Tamandua tetradactyla: one gene and its partner. The protein of the gene in region 1 interacts with the protein of each later gene in a biochemical or structural test. Links are inferred from orthologs where the notes say so. Each region holds a gene or a part of one and is shown in the gene's direction. Other genes may lie near its edges. The genes, in order: NFKB2 and BCL3.

Region 1 (7,452 bases):
GGGAGGGTGGTATCCTCTTGTACAACTTCTGTCATAGACAGTTAGAGGCACTCACCCTCTTCAAAGAGCCCCCCTGGCTGTATGATCATGTATCACCTTGGGCTTCCCCTTACTTAGCACTTCCATATGAATGTTGCTGGGAGGTTGGACCTCTGTAAGCACATCCCTCAGGTATGGAACGGGGCATCTCCGAAATGGGAACAGCCCAATGTGAAAAAGACAGAGATCAGAAGCTTTTAGCTTAGTTTCTCTCTCTTCCCTTCAAGTCACCCAGACCATGCCCAGTTTCCACACTAACCATAGGCCTTGCACAACCCTAACACTGGAGCAAGGAACAGAGATAGAGGTTCTGTGTGTGTTGCAGAAAAACTTGTATCTACAGTCAGGTGGACACTAGGGCTCTTGACCTCAGCTATGGTATCCCAGTTCTCCCATTTAATCCTCACAAGCTCTGCTTTAGAAGCTTCCATGTGTTTGGGGAAAATAGTGTCGGTTGCTACAAAGAGATGTGCGGTCCAGCATACAAACAAAGGAATATGACAGTCTGTCCTTCAGTTGGAAAAGAAGCTGGAGAGATTGCAAACTGATCCTCTCTCCACTGCATAAAAAAGAAAAACATTTGCCAGAAGGCTTATTCTGCTATAAAAAGAGCAGCTGACACACACATGCATGACCTCTGTTGTTGACAGTGTTGTCTCTTAGAAAGCAGAGGAAGCTATAAGAGGAACTAATACTTGGGCCTTATTTCTGACCATCAAGGAAGAATGATTTAGTGATGTGGAAGTGACCAAAAAAAACTTTGGGGGAAAGTGATAGTGTAAACCAGAGGGAAATGCTGATCTTAATCTTATCTCCTACCAGAATTCTAGGAAAGCAGAGTCCAAAAAATCCAGAGGAAAGCTAGAGATGGTTCCATGACCTAAGACCATAACATAGAGAACTGACATTTTTAGAGTACCTATCATGTATGTAATTACAAAGGGAATTGGTGAAACAACCTTTAGAGGTATTTACTCCTCTTCCAGATGAAGAAACAGGTTCAGAGAGGTCAAGGCATTGGGAAATGAAGAAGTTGGGACTCAAACCCAGGTCTATCTTACTCCAAACCTCATGGTATTTTCCAGTGACACTTCTTTAATTCAAAAGTATTGGTGTTGGTGCAAAAATCCTCCTAAGCTAAATATATTTTCTGTAGTTTCCAATAGGAAATAAAAGGTTGAGGCTCTGAATCAGCCATTGGCTGTACAGGCTATTTAACCTAGTGAGTTCAGAGTTTAGTAGAAGTGTATTAAAACTGGAAAGATATGCCAAGAATAAATACGAATTCTCTGAGCCCATAAAAATGGTATCAGGAAAAATTAACTACAGAATGAGCTACCATTGGCATAGTTCCACCCCCCACCCCCTGCCGCACACACAACCCACAATAGCAGGAAAAAATTTAAATGTGGTTATTAGAGCCTGTGGATGGTTATATTTGTTCAGGTTTCACTGCTTGGGAGACAAGTGGCCATGAGACAGGAAAACCACTCAGCCCCTGGCCTCCAGTTGGAGAGAAAGAGTTTTAGTTCAAGAAAACAACTCATCACTTCTCCTCCTTGAAACTGGCTTCTGAAACTTTTTCTTGGTTCTTTTCTATCTCACTGGGCATGCCCTTTCAATTTCTTTTGTGGGCTCCTCGTCTCTACAGCCTCTAAAATTAAGATAGCCAGGGCTCAGCTCTTAAATCTTTTCTCTATACTCCCTGTGTGATCTTGTCTACTGGCAAGACTTTAAAGACCATCCATTATACTATTGTTATACCTAGCTCTAACTTTGTATCTCTATCCTGACCCTCCTCTCAAATCCAGACTCCTACATCCACCTGCCTCTTGACATCTCCACTCACATGCCTCAGAGCCATCTTAATATTACAAACTTAAAAAGAAAAATTCTTATACATGGTGGTGAAGATAGCACAACATTGTTGTTCTAGTTTGCTAGCTGCTGGAATGCAATATACCAGAAACAGAATGGCTTTTAAAAAGGGGAATTTAATAAGTTGCTAGTTTACAGTTATATGGCCAAGAAAGTGTCCCAGTTAAAACAAATCTATAGAAGTGTCCAATCTAAGACATCCAGGGAAAGATACCTTGCTTCAAGAAGGCCAATGGAGTTCAGGGTTTCTCTCAAGTGAGAAGGTGCATGGCAGACACAGTCAGGGCTTCTCTCTCAGTTGAAGGGCACATGGCAAACACAGCGTCATCTACTAGCTTCCTCTCCTGGCTTCTGGTTTCATGAAGCTCCCTGGGAGGCGTTTTCCTTCTTCATCTCCAAAGGTCGCTGGCTCGTGGACTCTGCTTCATGGTGCTGCAGCATTCTCTGCTCTCTCTCTGAATCTCTCTCGTTCTCCAAAATGTTCCCTCTTAATAGGACTCTAGAAAAACTAATCAAGACCCACCCAAATGGGTGGAGACACATTTCCCCCAATCCAGTTTAACAACTACTCTTGATTGTGTTACATCTCCAGGGAGATGATCTAATTACAGATTCAAACATACAGTATTGAATAGGGATTATTCTGCCTTTACGAAACGGGATTTAGATTAAAACATGGCTTTTGTATGGGATCATACATCCTTTCAAATCAGCACAATTATGATTATAATTAACTCTACTGAATAGAATACTAGAAAGTGATTAAAATGGGAAATGTTATATTGTATATGTTACCACAATGAAAGTTTAAATAAATAAAAATTTTAAAAAGGAAAAAGCTGTGTCTTACCATGCCTCCAGAATAGTGTCCACACCTCTGAGTGAAGAAAAAAGAAAAAATTTTTACAGCCCTTTACAAATCTGTTCCTCCTTGGTCTAGCTCATATCGGTAAAGGACAACACCATTCTTCCAGGTTCTTACGTCAAAAACCTCCCCTTTTCTCACATCCTACACCCAGCCCCTCACCAAATCTTGTTGCTTCTCTCTTTCAAATCTATCCAGAGTCTGATCACTTCTCTCTATCCTCACCGATTACCACCCAAGTCCAGGCTGCTATCTGTAGTCTACTGGTCCCCCCCCTCTACATACTCCACTCTCCTGTCTGCACAGCAGCCAAACCGATCCTTTTAAACAAGCCATATCATTTTCACTGCACTGCTTAAAATCCTCTAACAGCTTTCCATCTCATTCAGAATAAAATCCAAATTCTTACTTCGTTCCACCTAACTACCCTTGCTGTTCTTCAAATATGCAAATCATATTCACAACAGACCTTTGCATTTGCTATTCCCTCCACCTGGAATGCTCTGCCTCCAGATATCCATTGTCCACTCCCTCATTTTTTTTCAAATCCTTGTTCAAATGTTACCAAAGAAGCCTTGTCGGACTGCTATATAGAAAACCTTTGTCACTCTCTATTCCCTTACCTGCTTTATTTTTGTTTATAGCAATTATCACCAACAGACGTAAATCTATTTGATACTTGCCTGATTCGTCCCACTAGAATGTAAGCTTCCTGCAAGCAAAATATGCCCTCACTGTTTGTTGGTGAATAAATAGAGTGGATTTATGGTGCATATGTTCTCAGCAGGTGTTGCGCTAGGGCTGGGTGCAGAAACAGATGATCAGATTGCAAATTAGTGAAATAAACATAATGAGATTTCTTAAACCCAGATTGATGAAGCCACAGCAACAGACAATAAATAAACTACTTTGAGTTAAAACTCTCCAGCCCCACATAAATTGAGAATTGTTGAAGATAATTAAGGATACATAAATATCATTATACTATATTCTCTACTTTTTAAATGCTTAAAATTTCCCATAATAAAGTTGTAGTGTTTTTTTTTTTAATCTCCAAATAAATTACAGCTCGGTATCTTGTAACTAAAACAGGTCAACCCCTTGGGGTGCTTTTGGAGACATTGTGAACCCTGAAAGAATACATACCAATTTCAGCAGGTGCTTTTTGAGCACGTTGAAAGAACAGTTGTGGTCAATGGCAACGAGCACAGGCTCACTCAGTTGGCATATACCAAACTAACCACATATTTAAGAATCTGATTTATCAAGGGAACTTGGTTGACAATAAATGTGGATTCCAGCAAAGTATTTGACACTATATTTGCTTGAATGACCCACAATAGGTGGAAAGGCCTACTTTGTTTTATATGAATTTAGGGGAAAGAGCTTCTGCCTGATATCTGAGCCTTAATTTCTTTTCCAGTAAAGGTAAGATTAACCTCCTGGGGTTGTTGAGAAGAATAAGAACTTATACTAAAGTACCTGACATTTATGGACAAGGTGAGAAGGAGGGGGAAGTCACAGGAAAATAAGTTTCCAAATCAAGGGCCATAATAGTCACTCGGTGCTAGTGCAGTCCTGCAGTTCCAGGAAGGTCAGGGGCAACTGTAGGAGAGACCTGAAACAGCCTGTGTTCTATCACCGGCCTAGGGAAGATGACTCCATGATCAGAGATTACTTCTCTGTGTGCTTCCCAAAGAGAAACTCCACCAACCAGAGAAGTCCAGCTACGGGGTCAGTGTTTTGTGAAATACTGTACTGACCTCACCGCCAGTAGAAGGATTCAAGAGGAAGCTGGGAAGTAGGTAAGAGTCGATCTCCTACATAAGAGGACTTTTGAACTATTTAAGACTTTCAACGCCTTTTCAATTCCAACATTTAAGATCTCTGTGATGACTGGAAGAGGCCCGAAATCCCCCAGAAAAACACCCCATTCCACTTCCCCCGCATAGAACTCCCGGCCCACTGTGAACCTGGCACTAATAGAATACGTTTTAGAGCCGGCAGGTCTCTTCCAGAGGCTTTGAGTCAGGCCGGAGACTGAATAAGAGACTAACAGTCTTTACGGCTTCAGGTGCCCAGGGAGGCCGCCAGATGGCGCCGTGGGACCGACCGCAAGATCGACTTCCTTCCTCTTCCCCTAACTTTTCCCGGCAGCCGGGCTCGGCTCTGGGAGGGGGAAGCCAGCTGAGACCGGCTGGCTTCCCCCTGGGGTTCCCCGGCTTCAGACGTGGCCAAGCATTCGGCGCAGCATAAGTATGAAGGCAGTGGGTCTCCCAGCCGTCCCGAGCAGGCTCATGCGGCCCCCAGAGGACAAGGGCCCGGCTTTCGTCCCGGGCAGGGCCTGGTGCTCGGTCAGCAAGTCTTACCTCGGGGTAACCCGGAAGCTAGACATCTGGGCGGGCAACGGCCATCCAGACCCCCAGCTCCCTGCCCTGAGTGAATCTTTCCCCGCTAGGAGACGCTCCTGAGTCGCTCCTGATTGGCTACTTGAGTCCGGGCGTTAAACTTCTGGCCAATGAAAAAGGGCATGGGGAATGACGCGCAGAAACGTCATGGGAATTCCCCCCTCCGGGGGGCGGAAAAGGTACTTTCCCGGCTGGAGCCCTAGTGGCTAGAGAGGTGTCGCGACCCGTCCAAGGCTGGTCGGACGGGGAGAAAAGACCGAACCCGAGCCGCCTCGGCGGTGAGTGGGGTCCGGACTCTTGGGTGGCCGGGACGCGGGAGAGGCGGAGGAGGGCTTTCATTGAACCAGCCCCTGGACTGGAGAGCTGCATATGCACACACGCAGAGCATGCACACACACACGAAACAGACGGGTTGTATGTATGTACATTCTTGAGCATCGTTGTATGTACGCGGCACGCGCACAGCATATTCCGTGCACTCGGACTCGCACAACATACACTCGCAACGTGCTCATTCGGGCACCGGTGGACCACATCCTTCCCGCACAAACTCCAAGCTATGATCACCTGTACCCTTACATATCAGACATGCTCGGACATATACATATTGAGAAGTTTACGAACATGCACCTATATACGGACATGCTCACTTCCACATGCATGTTGACGCTATGCACACACAGTATGCACCCAAGCACATGGGCCAAAACAAACCTGTGTACCTGTGGAGACACACATGTCTGTGGGACTGGGGTGGGAAGCGTGCAGGGTCTGTCCCTCTCCTGGGAGCCTGTGTGGTGTGGGAATCAATGGGGAGAAGAAAAGAGGAACCTGCCCCAAGGAGGAGACACCTCCCCCCACCCGCCCCACGTCGCAGTCCCCAGAGTCCCTTTCTCGTGGCAGAACCCTGGGGCCCCCCACTGGAAAGAGCCCCCGCCTACAGGCCATTCGGAGAGGAGGCCTCCCTACTCTAGGAATGTCCCCTCAAAAGCCCCCGAGGTGAATCAGCCCTGGCTTCCCTCTCGGCAGAAAATCCCAAGCTTGCTCCAGGCCCGGCCACGGACTGGGAGCCTCCCCCGCCGTGAAAGACCCTCCTGTCCCCGGAGCCTGCCCTGAAGGGTGGAGGGGAGGCCCCAACCCCCTTGGGGGCTTCCCTGGTTTTTATCCCCTCTCTGTCGCGGAGGCGGCCGGGGCCCGCTGGCTGGCTGAGGTCTCGCACCCCTCCCGCAGCTGGGGCGGGGCCAGTAGCGTCATTTCCAGGCCCGCCCCCTCCGGCCCCGCCCCCCCCCTGGTATTTTCGGGACTTTCCTAAGCTGTTCTAACTTTCCTGCCCCTGACCCGGCCCAGCCCAGCTCCGGATCTCGCCGTCCACCGGATTTCGTCCGCCACACCCGGACAGGCGGCTGGAGGAGATCGGACCCTCCCCCATATTTGGTGCTCCGCTCTCCTGCCACCCCCCGGCCTGATCCGTCCCCCCTACCCCACCCCACCCCCACCCCCCGCAAGGCGGGCACCTGAAACTCTGGGAAACGGAACCCGGCTGGAGCCACCAGCCAGAGCCGGGCTTAGCCCAAAGACATGGACGGTTGCTACGACCCAGTGAGTTACGCCACCTGGCCCCAGAGCCAGCCGGCTGTCCCCTTCTCCGTCTGCTTGTCTTCCTATCAGGGGCCCCTCTGCTGCCTTACACCTGTCTACCCCTCCTGTTAGCTCAGCCTGCCAGACATCTGTCTGCTGCCTCCTGCATCTATCTTACATCAGATCTCAAAAGTGTCTACTCTAATGCCCCTCCACACCGTCCTTTGCCTGCCTGTCAATCACTCTGTCTGCAAACTGCTTCCAAAGGAGCTTTCTCTTGGGCCTGGGGAGGAGAGAGAGGGGTTACTGAGGGCTTAGAGCTGAGCCAGGTGGAGGGCTCTGGTGGTGACTCAGAATCGGCTGCCACCCCCAATATGTCTCCTAACCAGGGCCTGGATGGCATCATTGAGTATGATGATTTCAAATTCAACCCCTCCATTGTGGAACCCAAGGAACCAGCCCCAGAGACGGGTCAGTAACATCCCCCCCCCCAACTTCCCCTTGTGTTAGAGGGAGGGGGTGAGAAGAGGCATGTGCCCTCTGCCTGGAAAATGGGCTTGGGGATCCTGGGTCAGCAAGGTCCCTTTGTCCCCAGCTGATGGCCCCTACCTGGTGATTGTGGAGCAGCCTAAGCAGGTGAGTGAGCAGAAGAGATGGTGTGGGACTTCAGCTTTGGGGCATGTT
Region 2 (7,586 bases), on another chromosome or scaffold:
AAGGGGAAGATTAAGTCTTGGCCCAGGCCCCAGATGGGCTGCTCCCAATTTGGTGCCAGGGAATCCAGCAGCTGCCAAGACCCCAGGGCAGGGAGGAACCAGGAGGTGGCAGACCCTGCTCCAGGAAGCTGGCCTGCATTTACCCCTGGGGAGAAGGGAGAGGCAGCTTTGGGCAGCAGAGTGGCAGGCAGACTGGGGGTGGACTTTTCAGCCCTGATCCCAAAAGGGAGGCCGTATGACTTCAGGCACGTCCCTCCCCATCCAGGCCCAGAGCCTCTGTTTGCCTCTATCTGTGGAATTCACTTGCTGTCTCTGAACCTCCCTGGAGGTTCTGGTGATGGTTTCTCTATCAGTTAACCTGAAGTCTAACTTTATTCCCTCCTGCTGCAATGAGACCCCTCTCTACCCATTCGATCCTCCCTGGGGTTGAAGAAACGCAGCAGAAAGAGTGTGGACTGGGCTAAAACCCATAGATGCCCTTGGGCACATGGTTGCTGCCCCATGCCTCAGTTTCTCCATCTAAACCATTCCTCTCCAGGGAGTAGGAGGCTAGAATTAATGGTTTCTGGAACTAATCACCACCCCTGCCAGTTCAGTAGGTTTGAACCAGAGTCCTGGGGTCCAGAGCCCTGTATTAAAAAACTCCCCCAGTTCCTCACCATTCGACCCTAGGAAGGGACTTCACTTCCCTATGCCTCAGTGTCCACCTCAATAAAATGGGGGTTTTAGGTGAATTTTCTGAGGTGTTGAGAGGATTAAGTGGGCCAGTTTCTAGTGGGAGCTGACTGGGTCAGGTCTTGTCTCATCTCTGGACAAATAAAGGTGACAAGAAGACCCCAGCCTGATGCACAGGGTGAGGTTAAGGCAGATGGGGGGGGCATTCATTCATTCTCCCATCGCACAAACCTGGTCTCACACAGTCTGTTCAGCAGCGCTTTGAGGCAGGCGCTGTTGTCATCCCCAACTATTGAAAGCAAAACAAAGGCAGAGAGAGAAAGCCACCAGCCCAAGGTCACATAGCTAGCACATGGCACCCTCAGGTCTCTAAGCCCAGCACACTGAATCCTAATCACCCTAGTGAAGTGGGTCCTGCTGCTGGCAGCCTAGGTTAACTGACAATAATGATAAAAGTAGTAGCTTCGTTGCACTGAGCACTTTCTACACATCAGGCCCCATAGAGGGAAGCAAATTTTCTCTATTTGGTCTGTTTTATAGATAAGAAAGCTGAAGCTCCATGCAGGTAACTGCCTGGAAGTCATAAAGCCAGTCAGGGCAGGACACAGGACTTGCACCCAGGCCTCAGTTTGAAGCAAAGTAGCAGAAGGCCCCTGAATGGAGCCGATGGGTATTAAGGGCCTGAGCCGCCCTGCCCTTTTCCTCTCCTTTGGAGAGGAAACCAAGGCCCAAAGAGCAGGAGAGATGCCCCCATGCCCACAGCGTTTCAGTTTGCACTTCCTTTACCACTGGGACCTCAAATGGGCAAACTCCTGGTCTTCCTCCCACAGGGAGAGTTGAATGTGGGTGAGGGAAGATGAGGCAGCTGGGAGGAGAAACAAACTGCATGAGGGAAAATGGTCAGACTCCAAGCAGGACTTCCAGGCCTTCTTCAGGAAGTTCTGCAGACTCATCCAGGGGCTGCCCCCGCCAGCAGTGGGCAGGAGGCAGGAGAGGGCTGCAGAGCTCAAGGCCCAGAGAGGGAAGACCCCAGCCCTCCCTGCCTGGGGTGCAAGGAGAGAGGGGGGAAAGGAGGGGACAGCCATCCTGGTTCCGCATCCTCCGTTCCCGACACTGGAGGGAGGTGGTGCAGGAGCTGGGACTTTCCTGAGTAGCAGAAGATTCTGGGAAGTCAGAGAGCAGCAGGGCGGGGCCGACTCCCAGCCTGCCTTCCCTTCCCTCCCTCTAGTCCCTGCTGGCTCCTCAGGCATGCCTCTTTCCCCCTCTGCCACAAGGAGACCCTCCTCAGTCTGCTGCTCCCCCCTCAGATCAAGCCCTTCCCCCTCAGACCCTCTCCAAGTCTCCTTCTCTTTCAGACCCCTCTTTTCCTCCCAACTCTCTCGCACTTCTGACCTCCTTACTTCGTCCTTCTCCTCAGACTGATCCTTCTTCCTCAGATCCTGGCCCCCTCCCTCAGATTCTGACCTCCTCCCTCAGTCCCTCTTCCCTGACCCCCAGGCCCTCATCTTCTCCACCAATCCCTCCATCAGGCTCTCTCCCCTCTCCCTCAGACAATCAAGTTCTCAGACTTGTCTTCCTCCTTCAGATCCTCTGTCCTCAGACCCTTTTATCCCTCATCCTCTCCTCCATCCTCAAACTCTGAGCCATCAGTACCCTTTCTCCCAGCCCTTCAAAGTGCCTCTCTGGGCCAGGTGTGCATGCCCCCCTCCCCCCAGTTCTGTCTAGCCCCAGGCCCTTTGCACCACCTGCCACAAGGTGATGGGGAGTGGGAGGAATTGGGGGTCTTAGGGTCACCAGCTTGTTGAGCACCAACCGTTTGAACCTCAGCTTCCACACACTGCCCCTCCCCTGTGCTTAAGGTTCTAAGAGGTGAGTGCTGGGTGGGCCGGGACGCCCAGCCCTTCCCAACCCACTTCCTTCCTCTTTCCTTCGTTGTAGCTCCCACGATAGGATACTGGGAGGCAGGGCTCAAGAGGCTCATTTCCAGGAGAGAGGGGATAGCTTGCTGAAGGTCCCTAGGTGAGCAAGGGGTGGGAGTGAGATTTGGACCCAGGTCTGTGACCCTAGATGTTTCACTCTACTGCAGGGCTTCAAAGGGGGGATAACAGAGAGGCCCAGGGCGCCGGGACTCTCTCTGCCCCCAGCTGCTCCTCCCAATCCCGGTTAATGATCCACTGGGGTGGGGCCCGCGTCCAGGCCAAAGTCTCTTCCTGGTGGACGGGGCCCCACACCCGCTTCCGGGTCCCAGAGAGACGCTGCCAGGAGACAGAACGATCAGGCAGAGATGGAGAGCCAAAAGGACAATGTCATGGGTTCGGGAGAAAGGGACAAAGAGAAGCTGAGCCTGATCAGGGACAGTGAGAGAAAAGGGAGAAGGGAAGACGGACAGAGGACAGAGTTGTCCAGACAGACAGGGTCTCAGGGAGCAAAGCAGGGAGACCCCTACCCCGCCGGGTGCCGTCCGGACAGCTCTGGGGTGCGGAACCCCTTGTCCGGCTCCCCCAGGTTTGCATAGCCCTTCTTCCGCCTCCCGTGACTCAGTGACCCGGACTCAACCCCAGCGGCGGCCCCGCCCCCAGGGAAATCCGGGAAAGCCCCGGGCCGCAGGAGCCCCGCCCCCTGGGCGGGAGAAGGGGGAGGAGCGACCACGCGGACGGGGCCCGCCCCTGCCCCTCCCCCTCGCCTGCTCCCGCCTGTCTGAGTCATGCCGCCAACACCAACCCACCGGGCCTGTTCCCTACGCTTCGACCCCTCCCCGAGGGGAGGGGAAAGTGGAGGAGAAGAAGGAGGTCAGACTGCCACCCCCCCACCCCGGAGCCTGGCCTTGGTCGTTCTGTCCCCGCACTGCTGATGTGTCTCTTGGTCTCTTGCTATCTCTCTCTCCCGTGTCCCTTTCCTTTGTCTCTCCAGAGCTCTGCGCCTCCATCTCCGTGTCCCTCTCTTAGTACACCCACCGTTCTCCGAGCACCCAGTGACCCGGAGGGGAGGAATCACATTCATTGTCCCTCTGGGCACCCCGGGCCTGAGGGGAGGAATCACATTCATTGTCCCTCTGGGCACCCCGGGCCTGGTCAAAGAGGCATAGAGAAGAGGCAGAGACGGTGGCAGGGGAGGCGGAGGGACAGTTCCTGGGCGCCCGCCGACCCCCAGCCCCGGCCCTGGGCGCGTTTTCTCACTCCCACAGAGAAGGAAACGGCCCAGAGAGGGGAAGTGCCCAGTCAAGTTCACACAGTGAGGAAGTGAACGGCGGGATTCGAACCCAGGTCCAGCGACTCCAGGCTCTCCCAGAATTACCTCCCGGCGGGGGGGGGGGATAGGCAGAGAAGAGTGCAACTAAGAGACAGAGAGAGAGTGAGAAATGCAAACAGACAACAGAGGTAGAGACGGTGAGACGTAGAGCGACAGAGAAATCGGGGTGATGCGTGTTCAGACCGGAGAGATCTCCGTCAAGGAGAGACACAGCTACAGAGAGATACCGAGAGAGGGAGACACAGAGCCCGAGGGACAAGAGCCTCGAGGCTGAGCGAAGCCCGCTGCCGCAGGGGCGGGGACCCCCGCCCCCGCCTCCCAACCCGGGTGAGCCGCCCGGGGCGCCGGGAGGGGCGGGCGCGGGGCGCGGCCAGGGCGGAGCGCGGCGGGCTGCACTGCGCGGCGACGGGAGCGGCGGCGGGTCCAGGAAACCCCTGGGGCGGACGGGTGGCCCCGGGAGGGGGGGGCGGGGGGCGGTCGAGGGCGGGGAGGCGGCCGGCCGGCACCGCCCCGGCCGACAAAAGTCCCTTCAGTTCAGCGGGAGGCAGGGGAAGTCCCGGCGCCCGGCGCAACCACCCTCCCGTGCCACTGAGCGGAGCAGCGCTCCGGCCGCCCGCTCGGCCGCCGTCCCCGGCGGCCCCATGCCCCGATGCCCCGCGGGGGCCATGGACGAGGGGCCCGTGGACCTGCGCACCCGGCCCAAGGCCGCGGGACCCCCCGGCGCCGCGCTGCCGCTCCGCAAGCGCCCGCTGCGCGCGTCCTCCCCGGAACCCGCCGCCCCCCGCGCCTCTGCAGGCCCTGTCCTCCCCTCCGAGCCCCTGTGTGGTGGCGCCGACGCGTCTGCCGTTTCCGGGGTCCCCCACGGCCTGGCCCGGCCGGAGGCGCTTTACTACCAGGGTGAGTGGCCCCCGCGGGTCAGGACTGGGTGGGAACCGCACAAGGTACAGGGTCACCAGAGCTAGGGGGCAGAACCCTGGGCGCAGTTATGTGGTGTCCCAGGAAGCTGGAGACAGGGGGACAGGACCCAGAGTCCTAGGGACACATACAGGGGTCCCAGGGAGCTGAGGGCATAGCCTGAAGTCCCAGGCCACAGATATAGGTGCCTCAGAATTACAAATCTCCATGACCCAGAAATTTAGGGTTATGAGGAGTCAGGGCCTGGACCCAAGAAACTGGGGTTCCTGGGTTCCACGTAGGGGTCAGAGGCAGTCAGGGGAACCACAAATGGGGTACTAAAGAGACAGCTATGAAGGGGTCCCAGGATGTCAAAATCAGGGGACATGGGGAATTACGACAATAGAGCTTGGAGTTCTGAGCATCCCAATATCTGGGATCACAGGGATCCAAGGAAGAGTTCCAGGAACCCAATAACTGGGGGCCCCAAGGAGTCAAGAGAACAAAAACTCAGCTGAGATGCCAATCAGGGGTCACAAGGGCAGGTGGCCTTAGGAGGTCTGCAGACTGAGAATTCTAGGAATGGAGTGGCAGGGCTAGAGAATTCTGGGATTTCAGGATTTAGGGCCAGGATGAGAGAGTCAGTGGACTTTGGGCAGAAGATCCCAGGGCCCCAAGGTCTGGTACTGGAGACACAGGGACCTGGAACTTGGGGAGTCCAGGAATGAGCCTCCCCCCCCCACCAAGGATCAGGGGATGTTGGAGAAAGTTACCCACCATTCTCCCCATCCCGTTTCCATCCTTGATCTCATGAAAGGGGCAGCCCTTGGACCACAGCTGTGTTCACCTCACTCTCCCCAGATGGCCCCAGAAGCTGCAATGGGCCCACGCTTAGTAACCCCAAAACTTGATCCACTTTCTGCACCTTCCAAGCCCCTCCAAGTGCAGCAGAGGGAGAGCCTCAAGCCGTGAGTCAGGAGGCCTTGCCACCACCACACTGACTTTTCCCATCCCTTGGATGAGTACCCAGGCCTTAGTTTTCCCCACTGGTATGGATGTGACTGCTGCCACAGTCTCTTCCAATAGCTGGATTTGAATCGGCTTCTTGTACCCCCTGCTCCCATTTCAACCCTTCCCTCTCCTCAAACCCTCTGCACATTCACTATGCCCAGCTCTCCATCTATTTCTCATCTCCCTCAGCCACAAATTCACTCATCAAACAAATCCTGGGGTCCCCCCATGGGTGATGATGGGGGCTCCCTTGGCGGGTGATGGGGGTCAGGCACATGGAAAGATAAGTGACAATGAGGGTGACCAGATGGGGGCAAGGGGAAATGGGCTGTGGGAGGCCAGAGGAGGACGTGGCAGGGGTTATCTTGATACAAAGGGACCTGCAAGGAAGGGTAGGCAGTTCTGCAGGATTGAAGGCCAAGAGGTGGGCAATAGGTTAAGGGTCTCCAGGCCTGGCTTCACCAGTGTCCTTTCTCTGTTCTCCACTGCTCAGGACCTTTACTGCCTCTGTACCCCACCCCAACCATGGGCTCCCCTTTTCCTCTGCTGAGCCTGCCTGCCCCCCTGTACCCCATGGTGTGTTCAATGGAACATCCCCTGTCGGCTGACATCGCCATGGCCACCCACGCAGATGAGGACGGAGACACGTGAGTGACCTCTCCCACTATTGGACAGGGGAGTGGGGAGGACAGCCTTCCACCCACCTCACCCACCACATACAGGGGCACTCAGCTTGGGCTTTCAAGTTACGTTGACCCGAGCTGTAATCCTCTCTCCACTGCTGGTTGTGTGATCCTGAGCAAGGACTTGCCCCTCTCCGAGCCTCAGTTTCCTCCTCAGAAATGGGCAACCTGAGAGCGCATCCCCCCAGGACTAAGGAGCAGTGGGCTTCAAATGTTTTATCACAGCCCCAAAGTGGGAAATGCATTGCACTGAGTGATTGATGATATAAGTTATACATGTAAAGCTGCTAACATAGTGTAGCTGGTTGATAAGTGTTTATTAGTATTACTTTATATCAAATCCAGCACACAAACATATGCACAAGATGTGTACACACACTTGAAAGAAAAACTGCACGAAACAAACAATATCTGATGATGGGGTCTACTTTGATATTTTTCTATTATTTCACTGTTGCAACCCACTGAACTAATCTGAAGGCTCCCCAGATTGATTTCCCAACCCCATACTTTATCACCTACAATTAGAGGAACATTTTCTGAGGCTGCCATGAAAGCCTGCAAGAGGGGGTTGAGCTCTGGGCCTAGCACATAGTAAGCACTCAGTACACTTGATCGTTGCAGTTCTTAGTATTCTGCCAACTTATGTTTGAATCTCAGCGGGCCACTTTCTCATTGGTCCATGCCTCAGATTCGCCCCTCTGTCAAACAGGGACCAAAGTGTGTGAGGGTGCAGAAGTCGGTTTGGAGACTCAGGTAGGAGTGAGCAGACCCATTTCTGGAGGGGGTGAGCCTCAGTTCCCCATCTGGAAATCGGTCTTCATAACAGTGCAAATCACAATTAGGATTTGGTGCATTAGTGCAGACGATAGGGCAGTACACAGTAAATGCTCAATACATGGCAATGGGTGTTTGTGGGCTATCCCCTTGAGCCCAAGTGGGAGAAAGTACTTGAGATATATAAAGGACTCAACAAAATCGAGTTTCCTCCCCCTCTGGGGACTTCTGGGAGTCATCAGTGAAATGGGCTTCATTTTGTATCTGTCCCTAGGGGTGAGGTGTTTGTGGCCTGTG

The links.
Region 2: the proteins of NFKB2 (region 1) and BCL3 form a complex in vitro, tested with the Homo sapiens proteins (2 studies listed by BioGRID). The link is inferred for Tamandua tetradactyla from reciprocal best matches to the Homo sapiens genes NFKB2 and BCL3.

The regions. Positions count from the first base shown.
Region 1 is NC_135339.1:64,284,079-64,291,530, forward strand, and holds the start of NFKB2 (nuclear factor NF-kappa-B p100 subunit), read left to right. Parts: upstream 1-4,407; 5' UTR 4,408-4,587; intron 4,588-5,000; exon of another isoform or gene 5,001-5,240; 5' UTR 5,241-5,468; intron 5,469-6,537; 5' UTR 6,538-6,768; coding exon 6,769-6,789; intron 6,790-7,157; coding exon 7,158-7,239; intron 7,240-7,363; coding exon 7,364-7,404; intron 7,405-7,452. UniProt on the Homo sapiens protein: NF-kappa-B is a pleiotropic transcription factor present in almost all cell types and is the endpoint of a series of signal transduction events that are initiated by a vast array of stimuli related to many biological processes such as inflammation, immunity, differentiation, cell growth, tumorigenesis and apoptosis.
Region 2 is NC_135342.1:18,276,258-18,283,843, reverse strand, and holds the start of BCL3 (B-cell lymphoma 3 protein), read left to right. Parts: upstream 1-4,461; 5' UTR 4,462-4,565; coding exon 4,566-4,821; intron 4,822-6,322; coding exon 6,323-6,476; intron 6,477-7,586. UniProt on the Homo sapiens protein: Contributes to the regulation of transcriptional activation of NF-kappa-B target genes. In the cytoplasm, inhibits the nuclear translocation of the NF-kappa-B p50 subunit.